Ovis aries: one gene and its partners. The protein of the gene in region 1 binds, or shares a complex with, the protein of each later gene. Links are inferred from orthologs where the notes say so. Each region holds a gene or a part of one and is shown in the gene's direction. Other genes may lie near its edges. The genes, in order: ROPN1L, DNAJB13 and DYDC1.

Region 1 (3,647 bases):
TGTCAATGAATCCGCCTGCCAACGCAGGAGATGTGGGTTCAATCCCTGGGTTGGGAAGATCCACTGGAGAAGGAAGTGGCAATCCACCCCAGTATTTCTTGCCTGGAGAATCCCGCAGACAGAGGAGCCTGGAGGGCTACAGTTCGTGGGGTTGCAAAGAGTCGGACACGACTGAGCGATTGAACAACAACAGCATGTGTCGATGAAGCTTCAGAGATGTCTATTGTTGTTTCAGGTATTTTTCGGCTTTGTCAAGAGGAGATCCACTGCCCGTGAAGGACAGAATCGAAATGCCCATGGCCACTCAGAAAACAGACACAGGCCTGACTCAAGGACTCCTTAAAGTTTTGCACAAGCAGGTATCAGAGTCTGTGATCAGTCAGCTGAGCTTGAGATAAAGCTGCAGGACCTCCACAGTCATCCATCCACAGCCCTGTGCCCCCTTCAGGGAACCTTTGAGATTTAATCAAGGAGGGAATCTTGAATTCAGTGACCTTCCTCTGGTTTAAAGAACCCAAGATCACTGTCCACAATTATATAGACATACACTTTGTTTTTTTAAGTACTTGCATTAAGATGCAAGAGGCTATTGGACTATAATGAAAGGTTTGAAAATATGGAATTTCAGACTTGGGGGTTGCAAGATCCTTTTTGAAATATGAGTTTATAAAAACTATGCTAAACATGATAAGCTGCCACCTTCTTCATCTGAAGGGGTATTTGGTTTCCAGCCCTCCTGAAAGCCCTTGAGACCCACTGGCTCACTTAGAGAGTTCATAGAAAGTGTGTTTTATCGGAATGATTGGGCTCTATTGCCAAAACAGATCAGTGGTAGAGCCCTGAGTTTTAAAGTGGCTTGTCCCCATTATGTGTTCCTGACCAGGGTGCTGACTTCTATACACGGGATTCTCCCATGGCTTTCTCGCTTAAGGGAAAACGAATAACCACTGAGAGAGGTAGTCTGGGGGAAGACACGCGAAAATTGCTCAAAGCTCTTCCACGCAGAATACTGCTAGCAGATCACAGAAGTCACCCATTTTCATCAAGTTGTCTTAAAGTAGTAGAAGGAATACATGTATTTTCTGGGTTAAAATTTCTCCTATTTAACTGTCAGCATGTTGTGGAGTTGGATTTCATTTGGTCTATGGAAGTTTATTTGTGTTGTGAAGTGTTGCTCCTCATGTCCGTGTGCTCATTTCATTAAGTCATAACATTATGCCATGTTCGCTTCACAGTCCTTTTTTCTCTCAAGAAGTAACTTGTTGCCAGTCTAGTTCCCAGTACCACCCGCCCCCCACTTCCCTGCTCGTGTAGCCCAGCTCCCACGACACACACACATACACCCCCACCCCGCTCCCCTCCCCTAGTGGTGGGCTAATGGTGAAGTTCATCTTTGAATGGGGATGGGTACTCTATTTAAGTCTTTGCAAGCATTATGTGATTTCTTAGGTCCTCATCTTAACATCGATTATGTCATGCTGTGCTTTCCAAATAGTGTAGCCACAAGGAGTATGTGGACTTAGCAGATCTTGAGCAGAAATGGAAAAATCTGTGCCTGCCTATAGAAAAATTCAAAGCTCTCCTGCAGCTGGATCCTTGCGAAGACAAAATCGAATGGATAAAATTTTTAGCACTTGGATGCAGCATGCTTGGTGGGGTACGTACCTACAAATAGCCTGTTAATAATTCTGAGTGATCATAGGCCTGCTGTCCAAATAACTTAGCTGTTTCAGTAACTGTAAGAACACTCTCATCACTTTAGTAATGCTCATGATTTTAGTCATTTTGTCTTAGGCAGTTTTTTTCAGATGCTTATTGTATTTTAGGCTTGTAGTTATTTAACTTACAGAAGTTAAATACTTATGAGTGCCTCAGTGTAAAAGATGTTAACAGTAGATAAAACATGTAGATACCATGAAAATGTGTTCAGTGTTTAGAAGAGAATGCATCAATGACTTTTATTAAACTATACATCATTTGACAAATTGATAGGTTTCCCTCTTGTGCAAAAAGAAATAAAATTATCTTCTATTTTAGTTAAAATCAATTATTAGTCACCTACAGCAGTTAAAATCGATTATTAGTAACTTAAAGCAGATACCTTGCTGATGTTAAGAAGTATAACCCATACAGGTTTAGGACTGAAGACACAGACATTCCTCCAGTCTGTGAACTGAGAAGGGCGGTGGGTGTGGTGGGGAGGGGCTGGAAGTCAAGAGCCTGTCTTCAGCTCTAGAATTTGAGTCGCCGCATGAGACCCAGGGGTCAAGTCCACTTTCAGTGTGTGAACAAAAGGACTGAGAAAAGAGCCAGCTCCTTTTACTGCCGAGACCAGGTGTGCAACCCCCTCCCTTCAGTCTTTGGACCCCAGAGCACATACTTGGCTAATCCTTAGTCCTTGCTTCATGGGGCACCCTCATCTTGGGTCCCTGCACAAGCCTCCTTGATTCCGTTTTAACTCTCTAGCAGTACTTTGTCTGACACTACCTCACAGGGCCACTGACAGCTAACTGCCTGCAGCTAACCTTCCATCCTATCCCCGCACTGCCCTCCACGTCAAGCATCGGCTGCCCTGAGCTCCTGCTTCCTGTTGAGCGCCTATGGACCCCCAAGAAATACTTGATTTAATTTTAGCTGGTTTCAGCTTTATGTTGTTACTAATCTTCTGGAACTTTTCTTTGATTCCAAATTAGATTTCTCTTTGTTCATCTGCCTGGCTACAGACGCTATGGTTCATTCACCTCCCTCTGCTGTGCCGTGCCCGCTCTGCGAGTATCGCGTACTTTACCACCTCTGTTCATGGCCCCAGTGAGAAACTCAGAAACCCCAAAAAAGCCGGGAGTCAGGCTGGCTGCTCCCTTTCGTGGTGTCCCTGCCCACAGGTGGCGTTTCCTGCCAGCCTTGGGCTGGACAACCCAGACCCTGTTGCCACCTGTCTCTGGGCTCCGAGGCCACTGAGGAGAATTGCAGTGGGGTGTCACTGAGAAGGACAAAGATGCATTTAGTTACTGGAAGAAATTTTATATGGCTTTGTTCATCTGGAGCTCCAGGAAAGGGAGATTTTAATAACACAAAATGAATAACTAATATTTGATTTGATGGTTTATTCCTCTAAACTTGGTTTATGAGGCTTAGATTTTTATAAAGATGGGAAAGCAGAATATTTCATCTTTGGGGGATCCATCTTTGTAAGTGCGCCCTCCCAAATCAGGAGAATCGGGCGCTAGATTTCAAACCAGACCAGCCTGTGTTCTGCAAGAGGAGGCCTCATAGCTGTATGTGGGGCGTGACGCTAGATGGAGACATTTGTTAAGGATGGAGCTTCCCTTCCGGACTGAAGCCTGGGCAGGTGACAGGGAAAGAGCACACTCACTTCTCTTTCCTTCCCGGAACGTGTCGCTCAGCCCATCAGCCCATGGGGATCCAGCACTGGCCCCTGACTAAGCCACCTGGGCCCGGACTGGGCCGTTGACTCTCTCTTATTTCTCTGCGGGGAGCTGACCCTGGGGAGGGGGTTCAGGTGTGAAAGTCCCCTGCTCCTCTGCCAGGCAGAGTTCAGAGCCTGGGATGCCTGCTCCATCCTGGCCTGCCCACCCCCTCAAAAAAACCCCAGGGCAGGGCTAGCTGTGGTCCACGGGGGCTGTGAT
Region 2 (3,647 bases), on another chromosome or scaffold:
GAATGTGGAAAGATGAATAAATATTTGCCAGGAGGAGATGAAGGGGGCTGGAGAGGGTTGATCATTCCGGGTAAAAGCAGGAGAGTATTGAAGGCATCAGCAGTGCAGCGTGCAGAGTGCAGAGCCTGGAGAGAAGAACCAGAGAGGCTGTGGCAGCAAGGAAGGGGAGTGAGTGAGAAGGGCGGAGTGAGAAGGAGGAGTCGAATCTTAGAGACATTCGGGTTTTACACTAAATTCAAAGGGCGGGGATTTCCTTGGTGGCCTAGTGATTAGGATTCAGCGCTTTCACTGCCATGGCCTGGGTTTAATCCCTGGTCTGTGCAGTATGGCCAAAAAAAATTTTTTTGAGTTTTTATGGGACTTCTCTAGTGGTCCAGTGGCTAAGACTCCACACTTCTAATGCAGGGGGCCCAGGTTTGATCCCTGGTCAGGGAACTAGATCCTACATGTTGCAACTGAGAGTTTGAAAGCATCATTTAAAAGATCTCAAATGCCGAAATGAAGATTAAAGATTTCTCATGCCAGTACAGCCAGATAAATATTTTAAAAAATGTTTTTGTTGTTTTAAAAAGAGAGAAACTCTGGAGCTGGATGAGATTTGAATCCTGACTCCTTGAAGGAAAAAAAAAAAAGACAAAGGAGGAACCAGTGAAGGGTTCAGGCAGAGAGTGACTTGGTCAGGGAGCATCTTAAAAGGGCGAGTTAACCAAAAAGAGAGAAATCAAACTGGTGGCAGCACACAGAATAAACTGGAGTCGGGGGCGGGTTGGGGTGGGGGGGACTGGAAATAGGAAGACATAGTTCTGCAATAGTTGTGGAAATGAAGAGGCAAAAAGAAAGCATTATCTAGAACGAAAAGCCAGTGTGAGTTTTCATTGGAACAGGGGTGTAAGGGTCAAAGGAAAACTTGGAGCCAAAGATACTCAGCTTTTCCACTTCAGGTTCTGTACAAATGGCAGGCAGCTGACAGCAGAGCCAGCTCTGAGCCTTGGACTGTGCCTCAAGGTATTAATCCTTCTTCTCTAGGTACCGGAAACTTGCCCTTAAGAACCACCCGCTGAGATCCATTGAGCCAGGTGCAGTGGAGACATTCAGGCAAATAGCAGAGGCCTACGATGTGCTGAGTGACCGTGAGTGACTGGGGCTGAGCGTGAGGGTGGCTCCTCTGCAAACCGCCCCCGCCTTCAATGTCATTCCTTCAATGTCATTGCTTACTCAGAAGAGTGTCAGGCTTTCTGAGGGGGCCCAATGGAGAGCAAGCATTCCTCTTCCCGGCCCAGAATCTAAGCAAAGTAGACACAAGCTAAGGTAGAGGACATGGTGTGGAGAGCCCCCAGATTAGGCTGACCTGCTTCCCGAGTCTCAGCAGTGCAGGGCCCGGGGCAGGGGCTCCCCAACACCGCCCAGGCCTCACCTGTCCCCTGCAGGGGTGCAAAGTGAGATCCTTGCTGCCCAGGGAAGAAGGCTAAGGCTGAGGCAGACATACCCAGTTATTCCCAGAGTGCCAAGAAGCCAAATCTCTCTCTCCCTGAGGACAGCATAAGTACCAAGGGACAGAGAGAGGTCTGTGATTGGGAAATCTCTCTCTGCTATGGCAACCTGAAGCCTGGGGAAAGAGATCCTCGCCTCTGTGGGGTGCAGTGCCCACGTGGGTTCCCTAAACACTGTCCTGGAGGCTGTGTGGATACTGTGCAGAAGAGTGGCCAGAAGATCACTAAAGTTTCCCCAGCCCCAGGTTTTCAGGACTTTGGATTTCCAAGCTCTAGAATTTGGCAGCTCTTGACTTCTTATATCCTACAGGCTCAAGGCACTAGGACTGTATTTACCCACATAAGACAGTAGCTGTAATGACTGAGTTAAACCAAACGCCAGCTCAATAGCCCGACCCTCAGTCTCCTGGTTTCTTCTCCAATCCCCAACCCTCCCCAGCAAGTTTTAGTTTTTCTCATCTCTCCTCTGGGCTATGGGGCCATACGTAGGTCCACCCAGGGTGAAATTAAATCCCTAACTTCTAGTGTCTCCCTCTAAAGACTTCCAGACCATGGCCACTTTAGAAATAAGTCTGTTTTCACCCTGCTTCTTCCACTCTGCCCCATATCCTCTGGCTTCCCAGCCCTCCAGCTCTCTTAGCCCCCATGCTGGCCCCTTGTCAAGGTGACGCATATCCACAGCTGTGAAAAGAGGCATCTATGACAAGTTTGGAGAGGAGGGTCTGAAGGGCGGAATTCCTCTGGAGTTTGGATCGCAGACCCCATGGACAACTGGTTACGTCTTCCATGGCAACCCAGAAAAGGTTTTCCATGAGTTCTTTGGAGGAGATAACCCCTTTAACGGTAAGAGGCCCTGCCTGCCCCTCTGCCTTACTAGGGAAGGATATAGCTGTAGAAGATGCTTTTCTTTGAGTAGTTTTGTTTACTTTAAGAAATATATATATAGTCATAAAATATATATATAGAGAGAGAGTCATCCATGCTCAGTCGCTAAGTCGTGTCCAACCATGACCCTGTGGACTGTAGCCCATCAGGCTTCTATGTCCACAGGATTTCCCAGGCAAGAATACTGGCATGGGTTGCCATTTCCTTCTCCAGGGGATCTTCCTGATCCAGGGATCAAACTCACACCTCCTGTTGTCTCCTGTATTGGCAGGTGGATTCTTTATCACTGCTGCTGCTGCTAAGTTGCTTCAGTCATGTCCGACTCTGTGCGACCCCATAGACAGCAGCCCACCAGGCTCCCCTGTCCCTGGGATTCTCCAGGCAAGAACACTGGAGTGGGTTGCCATTTCCTTCCCAAATGCATGAAAGTGAAAAGTGAAAGTGAAGACGTTCAGTTGTGTCCAACTCTTAGGGACCCCATAGACTGAAGCCTACCAGGCTCCTCCATCCATGGGATTTTCCAGGCAAGAGTACTGGAGTGGGGTGCCATTGCCTTCTCCACTTTATCACTGAGCCACCTGGAAAGCCCCATATATATATATATTTTAAAAACCCTATTTATTGAAAAAGAAATAAATTTCAGCCCTCCATTCCTTCCCCCAGAAGTAGCCACTCACTGTTACAGTTTATGTATCCTTCTAGAAATACTCTGTGCATTTATGAGTTTAGATTTATTTTCACACAGCCTTTCATCTTGTTAAGAAAATGGGACCACACTGTTTACACTGATTTTTTTCACTTTTATCTTAGAGATTCTCTTATTATACATTATATTACATACAGATCTACCTTATTTATTTTAATAGTTGCATATAAGATTCCATTGTACAGCACAGAGCTGGGCAGGGGTAGAAGAAGTTGAGGAAAGAGGAGTTTGGGGACATATTGGTGACCTCTCTAACTGGTTAGTGATTAACCCTGCCTCTCCCGGATCTCAGCTGCTGACTTTATAGGAACTTGAGTCTGAGATCTGTAGTGGTCTTGAGCTGGGCTGAATAGTGAGGAGAAATGAAGTCTGGGGGAGGGTAGGGAGGACTGTATGCTGTGACCCGTCTTCCACGGAAGCTAACACGTCATTTCTGGCTCTACCAACCACTGCCACCAGAGGACACTCCTCCCACTCCTGAGGCAGCCAGAGTTGAGGAGCACTTGCCCAGAGTTGGGGGAGGGGAGGGGGGGATGGGAGATAGGGAAGTGTGGGTGAAGGGAGTC
Region 3 (4,325 bases), on another chromosome or scaffold:
AAATGTGTGTTTAAAGTCACTACGTTTGGGGTAGTGGTGAAGGGAGGGGATGGGGATGTGTTGGTGGCTGCTTCTGCCAATCTGTGACTAATGCACCTGAACCAATGCACCCAAGTAAACTACTTTCTACACCCCTTCTCATCAAAGTGTGGTCATTGCATCACCTGGGAGTTGTTGAAATGCAGATTCTCAGGTCCCACCTCAGATTTACAGATTGAGAGTCTGCATTTTAACAGAATCCCCAGGTGATACACAGTTACAGCTCTCCTTTGCCTTAATCCCAGTACAACTACCCTTCCCAGGGGGTGGGATCACCAAGTTTGGAGCAGATCGTTTATCCAGTTTGCCACACTTACTGCAGTGTGGCAGACACTGAGGACCAAACGCTGAAGAGCCTTCCATCTGTCAGTGCTCCCGCTGGCACTTATTATCTCAATCAACATTTAGTGAAGCATCTTGTGCCCAGCACTGCCCCACATAAACTGAAACAAAACATGGGAAATGCTAGCCAAGAACTGTGCGAAACAACTAGCCCAGGGAAGGCTGCAGATGGTGGGGGAGATGAAAAAGGTTGGAAGACTTCCTGGAGGTGGGGGCACCCGGGCTCGCTCTGAAAGTAGTGCCAACTAAAGAATGTCTCCAGCCAGCTGGCTCCACAAGGACTGAGTCATTAGCAGTTGTTAACTGGTCACTAACACAGCCTGAAAAGAGTTCAGGGTGGAAATCAGGAATGAGATACTCCACTTTCTGGGAAAACTGACAGAATAGACCTTCAGACAGAAACTTTCAGGACAAAAATTTACAAACCCAATTTCTTGCATCTTACATACTTAGAAAAGCCATAAAATAATTAAACTGTGTGTGCTTGATAACTAGCAGTAGACTTTTACCTAGATATATGTTTGACTGCAGGTACCCGTTCTCCAAATCTCCTATACGCTGACCTCTGCCCTCACCTCTTCCATGCTGAAGCAGTTTCTCAGAGTTGTCTGAGAGGCTGTCTGCAGGGCTATAATCCTCAGTTAAGTCCCCAAGTAAAACTGAATTTACAGCTCTTAGATGTGCTATCCCCACCCCCAGTGGCCAGGATCCAAGCAGAAGTCACCAGCAGGTGCGAAAGCGCTAGGCTGAGAAAATACCAGGATGTTAGATTGCTACACTCTTTTCTGGCCTTAAGCAGTGCGGGCTTCACCTACCGGTAGCCTTTGCGCACATCCACTCCCGCCCCTGCCCCGCCCCGCCCCGCCCCGTCCCGGTCAGCCTCTGTCCTGGCTCTCTCCGTGTGCACTGCGCTTGCCAGTCTCGCTTGGTCAATTCCCCTTTTTGGCTGGCCCCTCCTCAAAGCCTCTAGATTGCACATCCTGTCTCTGCTCACGTACCCTGGTGCTTCCGGCTCTCCATCCAGCACCCTGTACACCTTGGGCGCAGCCTCCTCTCAGCTGCGCATCCTACCTTCCACTCCTCCAGCTTCTCCTCTCTGCAGCATCTACTCCGCCGCCGCCTCCAACCCTCACCATCGCTCACGCCCCGGCCCGCGCCTCTTCTGACCTCAGCCCAGCGTAGTCAGCTCAGCTCTCAGCACGCACTCTTCTCTCTCGGACCCAGGCAGTCTCCAGCCCAGGGGCGCGCGGGCTCATTGCCTAGCAACGGGACGCTATCTGCAGGTAGGTAGGCGCATGCGTCAGGCGCCAGCCTCTAGAATGCAGGCGCCTTTTGGGAAGAACAGCTTCCGGTGCTGGGCTGGTTTCCAGCCGGCAGAGGCAGCTTTGGCCCTTGGACCCTGCCAGTGGTGCGACAGAGGAATAGCTCAGCGCAGGGAGGCAGCTCTGTGGCTGAGTCCTACTCCTCTTCCTCCTCACTGGTGAGCAGCGCCGCGCCTTTTGGAGGGGCAGGGGAGGCGGGTCTGGAATAGAAAAGCTACCGAAGCTCTCGGAATCCAGGTCGGTAAAATTCGGGGTACCCAGTTAAATTTGAATTTCAGAGACATAAGAAATTACTGTTTAGTACATGTATAGTAGAGTGTATAATACAAAATCGTTTCTTGTTTATCTGAAATTTTAAATTTAACTGGCCACTGTATCCGATCCCTTCCTCTCCCACTCGGCCTGCTTTCTCCCAAGCATGACCGAGGAACCTCTGTTTCTTTGGACAGCTTCGCCAGGCTTCAGTTCAGTTCAGTTCAGTTCAGTCGCTCAGTCGTGTCCGACTCTTTGCGACCCCATGAATTGCAGCACCCCAGGCTTCCCTGTCCATCACCAACTCCTGGAGTTCACTCAGACTCACGTCCATCGAGTCAGTGATGCCATCCAGCCATCTCATCCTCTGTCGTCCCCTTCTCCTCCTGCCCCCAATCCCTCCCAGCATCAGAGTCTTTTCCAATGAATGAACTCTTCGCATGAGGTGGCCAAAGTACTGGAGTTTCAGCTTTGGCATCATTCCTTCCAAAGAACACCCAGGACTGATCTCCTTTAGGATGGAGGGTTGGAGCTCCTTGCAGTCCAAGGGACTCTCAAGAGTCTTCTCCAACACCACAGTTCAAAAGCATCAATTCTTCGGCGCTCAGCCTTCTTCACAGTCCAACTCTCACATCCATACATGACCACAGGAAAAACCATAGCCTTGACTAGACGGACCTTAGTCAGCAAAGTAACACCTCTGCTTTTGAATATGCTATCGAGGTTGGTCATAACTTTTCTTCCAAGGAGTAAGCGTCTTTTAATTTCATGGCTGCAGTCACCATCTGCAGTGATTTTGGAGCCCCCAAAAATAAAGTCAGCCATTGTTTCCACTGTTTCCCCATCTATTTCTCATGAAGTGATGGGACTGGATCCCATGATCTTCGTTTTCTGAATGTTGAGCTTTAAGCCAACTTTTTCACTCTCCTCTTTCACTTTCATCAAGAGGCTTTTAGTCCCTCTTCACTTTCTGCCATAAGGGTGATGCCATCTGCATATCTGAGGGTATTCATATTTCTCCTGGCAATCTTGATTCCACCTTGTGTTTCTTCCAGTCCAGCGTTTCTCATGGTGTACTCTGCATATAAGTTAAATAAGCAGAGTGACAATATACAGCCTTGATGCACTCCTTTTCCTATTTGGAACCAGTCTGTTGTTTCATGTCCAGTTCTAACTGTTGCTTCCTGACCTGCATACAGATTTCTCAAGAGGCAGGTTAGGTGGTCTGGTATTCCCATCTCTCTCAGAATTTTCCACAGTTTATTGTGATCCACACAGTCAAAGGCTTTGGCATAGTCAATAAAGCAGAAATAGATGTTTTTCTGGAACTCTCTTGCTTTTTCCATGATCCAGCAGATGTTGGCAATTTGATCTCTGGTTCCTCTGCCTTTTCTAAAACCAGCTTGAACATCAGGGAGTTCACGGTTCACATATTGTTGAAGCCTGGCTTGGAGAATTTTGAGCATTACTTTACTAGCATATGAGATGAGTGCAATTGTGCAGTAGTTTGAGCATTGTTTGGCATTGCCTTTCTTTGGGACTGGAATGAAAACTGACCTCTTCCAGTCCTGTGGCCACTGCTGAGTTTTCCAAATTTGCTGGCATATTGAGTGCAGCACTTTCACAGCATCATCTTTCAGGATTTGAAATAGCTCCACTGGAATTCCATCACCTCCACTAGCTTTGTTTGTAGTGATGCTTTCTAAGGCCCACTTGACTTCACATTCCAGGATGTCTGTCTCTAGGTGAGTGATCACACCATCGTGATTATCCGGGTCTTGAAGATCTTTTTGTACAGTTCTTCTGTGTATTCTCGCCAGGCTTAAGGCAGCTGTTTCTGTGGGAATGAGCTTTCTTATGTTGAGCCAAGATGCCTGTTGGTGTGTCTGAAAAATATGCCTTACAACTGGCTGGGTATTTTTGCTGTTTCCTGGAGAGGAAGCAAGCCGAAGGAAGTAAGGAGTTTCACCTGGGTTCGGTTGATGAGCAGATGCAGCCGGCTTCTGTTGGAGACCAGTCCTCCTTGGGCGGTTTCTCCTTTCGGAGACCAGGGTTGTCTCCTCCTGTGTTCGCTTTCTGGAGCTGCAGCAGGAATCTGTTCCAGATTTCCTGCACTGCAGTCAGATCCTTCACTGCCCGGGCCACCAGGGAGAAGTCCTTTAGAAATTGCTAGTGTGTTTCAGATGGAATTGAGATGACAATGTAGTTATTTTTGTCTTTAGAGCATTATCCCATTGAAGAAGTACAATTAGGATACTGTGTTCCATACTCAGTTATAATCATTCTTCTCTCTGTGTGGGTAAGATGCTAGTGCCAGCTAGGTGGGGCATTAAATTTGTGCCGGGTTTTGGTTTGTCTTTATGACAATGT

What was found.
Region 2: ROPN1L (region 1) and DNAJB13 share a complex: the UniProt entries of both Homo sapiens proteins name them as parts of the axonemal radial spoke complex. The link is inferred for Ovis aries from reciprocal best matches to the Homo sapiens genes ROPN1L and DNAJB13.
Region 3: ROPN1L (region 1) and DYDC1 share a complex: the UniProt entries of both Homo sapiens proteins name them as parts of the axonemal radial spoke complex. The link is inferred for Ovis aries from reciprocal best matches to the Homo sapiens genes ROPN1L and DYDC1.

What each region holds. Positions count from the first base shown.
Region 1 is NC_056069.1:62,909,198-62,912,844, reverse strand, and holds part of ROPN1L (ropporin-1-like protein), read left to right. Parts: intron 1-235; coding exon 236-359; intron 360-1,495; coding exon 1,496-1,657; intron 1,658-3,647. UniProt on the Homo sapiens protein: Functions as part of axonemal radial spoke complexes that play an important part in the motility of sperm and cilia. Important for male fertility.
Region 2 is NC_056068.1:52,112,914-52,116,560, forward strand, and holds part of DNAJB13 (dnaJ homolog subfamily B member 13), read left to right. Parts: intron 1-1,026; coding exon 1,027-1,130; intron 1,131-2,171; coding exon 2,172-2,333; intron 2,334-3,647. UniProt on the Homo sapiens protein: Functions as part of axonemal radial spoke complexes that play an important part in the motility of sperm and cilia.
Region 3 is NC_056078.1:34,793,815-34,798,139, reverse strand, and holds the start of DYDC1 (DPY30 domain-containing protein 1), read left to right. Parts: upstream 1-1,385; 5' UTR 1,386-1,664; intron 1,665-1,697; exon of another isoform or gene 1,698-1,861; intron 1,862-4,325. UniProt on the Homo sapiens protein: Functions as part of axonemal radial spoke complexes that play an important part in the motility of sperm and cilia. Plays a crucial role during acrosome biogenesis.